Sus scrofa: one gene and its partner. The protein of the gene in region 1 purifies or fractionates together with the protein of each later gene. This does not show direct contact. Links are inferred from orthologs where the notes say so. Each region holds a gene or a part of one and is shown on either strand. Other genes may lie near its edges.

Region 1 (4,093 bases):
GGTCTTTCAGAGCAACCACGAAAATAAAAAACAAAGAGTTAGAGCTAATAAGCCAACAAAAGAAACACAATGGAACAAAATTTGCTCATTCTAAAAGGCAGAAAAAGAGGAAAAAGGTAAAAGAGATAAGCAAAAAAGCTAAAAACAAGATAAACATAACCATTTCAATAATTAAGTTAAATGCAAACAGTCTAAACACTGCAATTAAAAGACAGAAACTGTCAGAATGAATAAAAAAGTAAACCTCGAGTTCTCTTGTGGTGCAGCAGATTCAGGATCCAGCACTGTCATTGTGCCACACTGCTGTGGCTCGAGTTGAGTTGCTGGCTCGGGAACTTCCACAGGCACAGCCAAAAAAAAAAAAAAAAAAGCAAAACCCACTATATGCTGCCTGTAACACTCTTGAAATATAAATTTTAAAATAGGTTAAAATTAAAGGGTATAAAAAGATATTCCATGGTAACACCAGTCATTCAAAAGAAAACAGAAGTAAGTATTTTAATATCAGAGTAGATTTCAGAGCAAGAAGCATTACCAGGGCTAGAGAAGGTTATTTCATAACGACAAAGAGGTCAGTGAAACAAGAGGACTTAATAATCCTAAATATTTGTGCCCCTAATAATAGAGCATCAAATTACACAAAGCAAAATCTGATAGCACAACAAGGAAAGCCACGAATCCACAATTATTGTTGAAGATTTCAATACCCGGCTCTCAATAATTGACAGAACAAGTAGAAATCTAGACTTGAGCAACAAAAGAACCAGGGAAACACTGACACTCGGAGAACACTACACCCAACCAGAGCAGAATACACATTCTTTCAAATGCACACATTATATTCTTGGCCCTAAAACAAGTCTCAAAAAGTCTGAAAGGATTCAAGTCATGCTAGGCTCTCCATCCCCAACAGAATTAAACTAAAAGCCAATGAAAGAAAGATGCCTGTGATATGGAAACTGAATAACATACTTCTGAAGAATCCGATGACCAAAGAAGAAATCAAAAAAGAAATTAGAAAGTATATTGCATTAAATAAAAACACTACACATCATGGAATTCCTGTTGTGACTCAGTGGTTAACGAACACAACCAGTATCCATGAGGATGTGGTCAATCCCTGGCCCGGATCACTGGGTTAAAGATCTGGCACTGCCATAAGCTGTGGTCTAAGTCGCACATAGGGCTCAGATCCCACATTGCGGTGGCTGCGGTGTAGGCCGGCAGCTGCATCTTCGATTTGACCCCAGCCTGGGAACTTCCGTATGTCGCAGGTAGGCCTTAAAAGCAAAACAAAACAAAATGACAAAAAACGACACAGCACATCAGAATTGGTGAGATACTGCTAAAGCACTACTCCGGGAAATTTACAGCATGAATCACTTATATGCGTAAAAAAAAAAAAAAAAAAGAGTCTCAAATCAATGACCTCAGCTTCCATCTTAAAAAACGAGAAAAAGAAGAAATTAAACCCCAAATAAGAGAAGAAAGTAAATAAGTCAGAACAGAGATCAACAAAATAGAAAGCAAAAAGAGAGAAAAAGAGAAAATAAATGAAACCACAGCTGGTTGTTTGAGAAGATCACTGTTTCCTGAGTGCCTCCTATGGGTCAGGGGCTGCTGGGTCACTGGGGATACAGCGGTAAACACGATACTCAAAAACCCCAGGTACATTCCCTCAATTGGGCCTTTACAACTGTTTTTCCCTCTATGTGCAATGTTCTCCCCAGATAATCTACTTGTCTCACTTCCCTGCTTTATTTTTCTCCAAAGAACTTCTTAACGTCTGACATGCTATTTTTCTTTTTTTTTTTAATTTTTGTCTTCGTTTCTTCCTGCCTTTCTTCTTTCTCTCCCTTTCTTACTTTAGGTCTGTGTATCTTTTTTTCTCTTTCCTTCTCTCTCCTTTTCTTTCCTTTTTCTTCCTCCTACCCTTCCTCCCTCCCTGTCAGTCTATCTGCCCTTCTGTCTATATACCCCCACTAGAATGTATGCTCCACAAGACAAATGTTTTTTGGGCTTTCCTCCCTGCCTTTAGGCCACACCTAAAACAGTTCCTGGAAAGTCGAAGGTGTTGGATTATTTGTTTAATAGATGAATTCCTGCTGTTATGTAGTTTCCATTTTCTCTTTGAATGTAAGCTTTGAAGATCAGAGTTCAGAAGGTGGGATCCTGGAGTCAAAAGCCAAGTATTAATTTCGAAATAAAATCTAAGGCTCATGTAAGTTAGGCGCTGAGGACCAAAGATCATATTTGGAGGATAAAGGTCAGGAGGAGCCTGTCTGAACTACAGTTCTAACAGAGGGCTAAGGACTGGGGTCAGGAAGGTCAAATCGAGTTTTGGATGTGGAATCGATCACTGAATGTGGGTCTGATCAATGAACGCATAACTCTGAGAATCAGTTCAAGAAAGGAAGGCCAGACATTATTGGGTTAGGATCAAAATTAGATAAGAAGTTGGTTTTATCAGAGGCCAGTCTTGGGGTCAGGAAGTCAAGCATCAAAAGACAGATTTAGGATTGAAAGGTTGGGAAGTCAGGATTGGAGATGTGGGACCCTGGGGCCCGATTTGTCAGTCTAAGGTTCACTCACGTGTCGCCATCCTCAGTGACGTAGCCGAAGACGAGGGGCGCCCACGATAGTCCCGGACCCAGCTCCGCGCCTAGGCCTGGTCCTCCGGGGGCCGCTGCGTCCGGACCCAGAGAGCCCAAGCCGCTGTCGCACCATTCATCGGTGTCCGCAGCTTTCCCCAAGCACGCAACCCCAGCCATGGCCCCCGAAGCCTCAGGGGCCCCCAGCGGCAGCCCGCCTGTCGCTGGGCTCTGCCTGGAATTCTCGAGCTTCCGCCCTGCGGGGAATTCCCCAACACGCCCCCCTGACTCATCCAATCAGGGTGGGCTAAGTAGTACACGCCCCGCCCCCATGCCACATGATGACCAATCAGAGCACTCAGGTGGACTACGGCGTTCTACCTTTTCCCACACTTTCCCGGAGTCCTTTACCAGCATGGCTGTGGACGTGGAGCCCTCTGGGACTCGTAGTCCGGCCTTTGCGTGGGGGCGCGCTCCGTACGCGGTGCAGAGCATTATATGCGATCGCGATGGCTGCTGGGAGTTGTAGTTCTCTGCCTTGTCTCGGCCCCCTCCTGTTTCCGGTGCCGTCACGGGACAGAGCAGTCGGTGACAGTCCCGAGGGCCCCCGCCCCGCGCCCATGGCCGAGCCGGATCGTGAGTCGGGGACCCCGGTGGGAGGGCAGGGCTGCACCGGGGCCTAGCTGAGGGTCGTAGGCCCCGGGGCCCGAGGGCAGGCTTGGTGGGGCAGGAGATGGGGGTTGCATGGGGGGGAAAATGGGATTCCGGGGGCAGTTGCCAAGTGATCCATATTGCTAGATTGGTGGCTTTCTGGGTCGCTAGGTTTTAAGGGTCCGTTTGCCACTTCCCCCAAGTTACTAATGATCACATGTTTCTCGCACCTTAGTTGCCAAGGACCCTCGTTGCTAGGGACTTAAGATGCCGCGGTCCTGGTTGCTAAGGGTACCTGGTTGTTAGTAGCAACTGTAGGATGCCAGGGTCCCCTCCTATTGCTTCCTTTTTCTCCGAAACCAACCCCACCCTGCCCGACACACACACACACACACACCACACACACACACACACTCTGCACCTCTTCTCCCAAACCTGCCAACAGGCAGAGTATGTCTTCTCTCCTTTCTATGGCTTCCCACTGCTTGTAAACCTAATGACACACACTCTCACACTACTACACCCTTCCTAACTCCTCCTAAGTCTTCCTCCATGCCGGGCGTGCTTTACTTTCTCTTCCCTCGCCTAAACCTTCCTGTCCCGGCCTCTTTGTCCCTCGCTAACCTCTCCTCCCAGCCGTCTGCACACTGATAAGGTCCGCTTTTCCCCATTGCCGCCCTCCTCCACTTCCATTTTACACCCCCACCCCACCCGGTATGACCAGGTTGGTGAGTTTTCTTGATCCCTCTGCCCCACTAATTTGAAGCCCTTCCTTCCCCCTTAACCACTCCCTTCACCTTAACCACGTCTGCTCCCCCTCCTCCCCCCAGCCTCAGACCCTGTGGAGACCC
Region 2 (3,649 bases), on another chromosome or scaffold:
CCCTAGCCTAGGAACTTCCATATGCCATGGGTGTGGCCCTAAAAAAATAAAATAAAAAATAAAGACCTGGACAGACATGTCCATTTTCTTCTCTCACTAGAGCTGATCTAAGAATTATAGACAAGTAACAGACTGGAAATAACTAGAATAAAAAGTCTATGTTGGACTTACTTTTCCGCTTAATCACTTTCTGTGCCCGAAACTTGATGAGGGTGTCCAGAAACCAGATGCACCGGGCCTGGCGGTCTCGGCTCTCCTGATTTGATGGCAAAGACTTCAGCGCTTCAATGACAAAGGAGCAGTGACTGCAACAAGGGAGGGAAAAGGAGAACACGTGAAACTGGCTCTGTCAGGAGCCATTTACTCCTTCGCAATGAAAACAGCAGGCACATCTCACACCTCGCGAGTATACACACACAGTCAGCAACTGAGCGAGGGCCATCCATCCCACCAGCTCCTTAGATGAGGAGGAGCATGATTCAGTGCAGGGACAGTAAAGGTCCAGATAGTAGGTACTTTACATTTTGGGGGCGATATGGTCACCCCCACCGTAGTACAAAGGCAGCCATCGGTAACACATAAATGAATGACTGAGGCTGTTTCCATTAAAACTGCACTGGTGGTGGGCCGTCATCTTTCCAATCTGCATGTGGCAGTCTGGAGCACTGGCTCTCAACTACTTGGGTGACTCCTGAATCCCTCCTCCGCCATGCAGTGCCTTGAGCAAGTTTCTGAACATCTCGGTGCCTTGGTTTCTTCTGTAACTTAAGGCCAATGATAGTACCCTCATCCCGTGGATTTTTGTGGATTAAATTAAACAATGCTTGGCACACATAAGAGCTCAGTTGATGCTGGCTATTATTTTTATGTACTGTTCTACCACTATCAGGATCTTGGACTCACAGCAAAAAAAGGCCCTTCAAATCATCTCATGGGAGTTCCCGCTGTGGCTCAGTGGTAAGGAATCTGACTAGTATCCATGAGGATGCAAGTTTGATCCCTGGCCTTGCTCGGTGGGTTAAGGATCTGGCACTGCTGTGGCTGTGGCTGCCAGCTGCAGCTCCAATACAACCCCTATCCCGGGAAGTTCCATGTGCCTTGGGTGCGGCCCTAAACAAAACTAAAAAAAAATATGGTGTTCCCGTCGTGGCTCAGCAGTTAAGGAACCCGACTAGCATCCATGAGGACGTGGGTTCAATCCCTGGCCTCGCTCAGTGGGTTAAGGATCCAGCGTTGCCGTGAGCTATGATGTAGGTTGCAGACTCGGCTGGGATCCCACATTGCTGTGGCATAGGCTGGAGCTACAGCTCTAATTTGACCCCTAGCCTGGAACCTCCATATGTTGTAGGTACAGCCCGAAAGAGACAAAAAAATTGCAAAAAAAAACAAAACAAAAACAAAACAAAAAAACTGTCTCATATCAGCCTCATTTTACAGAGAGGAAAACAGGCTCAGAGAGGGGAAGATCACCTAGTCCATCGGGCAGAGCTTGGGGATTCAGTTTCCCAGACTTCCAACCCAGAACTCTTTCCCTCACCTGCCCCTGTGCCTCAATCACATTAAGACAATAAAGAACCAGTAATGAGCTCTTGTTTGGCAATGGATCTTTGGAGAGAAGGAAAAAATGTATTTTTCTAGACTTTGGATTCACTGACCAAAATTCCCCAAAATCTGGGCAACCAATCTAGGGCTGACAACTTTTTATTTCCTCAAGATGAAATTACAGAAAGAAAATTTGAGTTAAAAAACCCGCCACTATCATCATAAAAGAAAAGCTAGGGGGAGGGGGGTTTGGCCATGCCCATGGCATGTAGAGGTTCCCAGGCCAGGGACTTAACCCGAGCCATAGCAGGGACAACGCCAAATCCTTAATTGCTAGGCCACCAAGGAACTCCCAAGAAAAGCTACTTTAAAGGCCAAAAATAGGGGAAGGAAAGGAAATAATCTCTGAATTATTTAAAATACACTATTTTTTTTTTTTTTTTTTTTTGGTCTTTTTTGCTATTTCTTGGGCCGCTCCAGTGGCATATGGAGGTTTCCAGGCTAGGGGTCTAATCGGAGCTGTAGCCACTGGCCTACGCCAGAGCCACAGCAACGTGGGATCCGAGCCGCGTCTGCAACCTACACCACAGCTCACGGCAATGCCGGATCCTAACCCACTGAGCAAGGGCAGGGACCGAACCCACAACCTCATGGTTCCTAGTCGGATTCGTTAACCACTGCGCCATGACGGGAACTCCTAAAATACACTAATTTAACTTTAGAAAAGCTCACGCAACACATCACCACAGATGTACCATCCCTTCTGCAGGCACCTATTCCCAAGCCAGCACCTGGGCCTCTCCTGTAACAATTTGCATCAGCATGACACTAGGGGAGGGACACAGGTCAGCTCCAGTACCCAGACCCAGGCTACAAGCCTTACCACCCTCTGCCCAGCCACACCGAAGCAGCTCACCCCTTGAACACCGACAATAGGCCCGGAAGCCCAAACATTCAAGCTCGTTTGTGTTCAAATGCTGAACAGGCATACATCCTTACTGACCGACACCCAAGGTCCGCTTCATGTCTGACTACTGTTGTGTCCCAAGATCACTCCCCAGACACTCCAGCCACCCAAGTGGGGTACCTGTTCTCTTCGATCATCTTCAGTATTTGTTCTGATGTGACGTTCCTGAAAGCTTCAGACGGGCTCTGAAGAGCGTCATACTCCGCAGGGGAAAGAACCAGTTATAGGTCAAGAAAACAACCTGACCGAGATGGAAACATCCAACTAGCTAGATCATCTTGTAGTGGCCTATTTAGAAATTGGCGAACATGGGGAGTTCCCGTCGTGGCAAAGTGGTTAATGAATCCGACTAGGAGCCATGAAGTTGCGGGTTCAATCCCTGCCCTTGCTCAGTGGGTTAAGGATCTGGCGTTGCCATGAGCTGTGGTGTAGGTCGTACACACGGCTCGGATCCCGTGTTGCTGTGGCTCTGGTGTAGGCCGGCGGGCTGCAGCTCCAATTAGACCCCTAGCCTGGGAACCTCCATATGCCGAGGGGGCAGTCCTAGAAAAGGCAAAAGACAAAAAAAAAAAAAAAAAAAAAAAAAGAAAGAAAGAAAAGAAATTGGCAAACTGAGGCTCAGAGAGGGAACGATCACACCGTATATCTGGGCAGAGCTCAGGGACTCAGTGCTCCCTAATACTCATTCCCTGTCTGGGCTTTTCTGCCTTCTCTTATCACAGATCCACTGCGGGCATTTTCCATCCAACTACAACCACAAGTGTGGAAACTCTACGTTCCAACCCTTCTATTTACAAAACCAGTCTGCCCCGGACTTTCAGCACTGGCCAACTTAAAAGTTGTATTTTGACTCCTCACAGAAAATGACCTTCCCACAGAGCTGAGCTGGGGGCATTCTGCTTTGTGCTGAGGGATGGGTTTGAATCTCAAAGGCTAAGTAAGAGGTTGGTGCTACAGCAGATCCTTCAGCTGGTGAGGACGTCCCAGCAACGGCACTGGGGCAACCACAAGGGTTTGGGGATAGCTTCCGGGAGCATTGCAGGACCATGGACACCCTCAGAGAGTCCAGCCATGCCACTCCTCTGTGCAGATCCCCACTTGGAAACGAGGCGGCACTTTTCCCCCGCAAGAAGGATACGG

The links.
Region 2: the proteins of NFKBIB (region 1) and POLR1E purify together in Homo sapiens (affinity purification with mass spectrometry; 3 studies listed by BioGRID and IntAct, counting the BioPlex papers as one, with this or other methods). This does not show direct contact. The link is inferred for Sus scrofa from reciprocal best matches to the Homo sapiens genes NFKBIB and POLR1E.

What each region holds. Positions count from the first base shown.
Region 1 is NC_010448.4:47,702,419-47,706,511, reverse strand, and holds the start of NFKBIB (NF-kappa-B inhibitor beta), read right to left. Parts: upstream 2,869-4,093; 5' UTR 2,772-2,868; coding exon 2,593-2,771; intron 1-2,592. Other genes in the region: SIRT2 (NAD-dependent protein deacetylase sirtuin-2), read left to right, coding at 3,212-3,227, 4,073-4,093. UniProt on the Homo sapiens protein: Inhibits NF-kappa-B by complexing with and trapping it in the cytoplasm.
Region 2 is NC_010443.5:238,211,135-238,214,783, reverse strand, and holds part of POLR1E (DNA-directed RNA polymerase I subunit RPA49), read right to left. Parts: coding exon 3,648-3,649; intron 2,727-3,647; coding exon 2,630-2,726; intron 306-2,629; coding exon 172-305; intron 1-171. UniProt on the Homo sapiens protein: Component of RNA polymerase I (Pol I), a DNA-dependent RNA polymerase which synthesizes ribosomal RNA precursors using the four ribonucleoside triphosphates as substrates.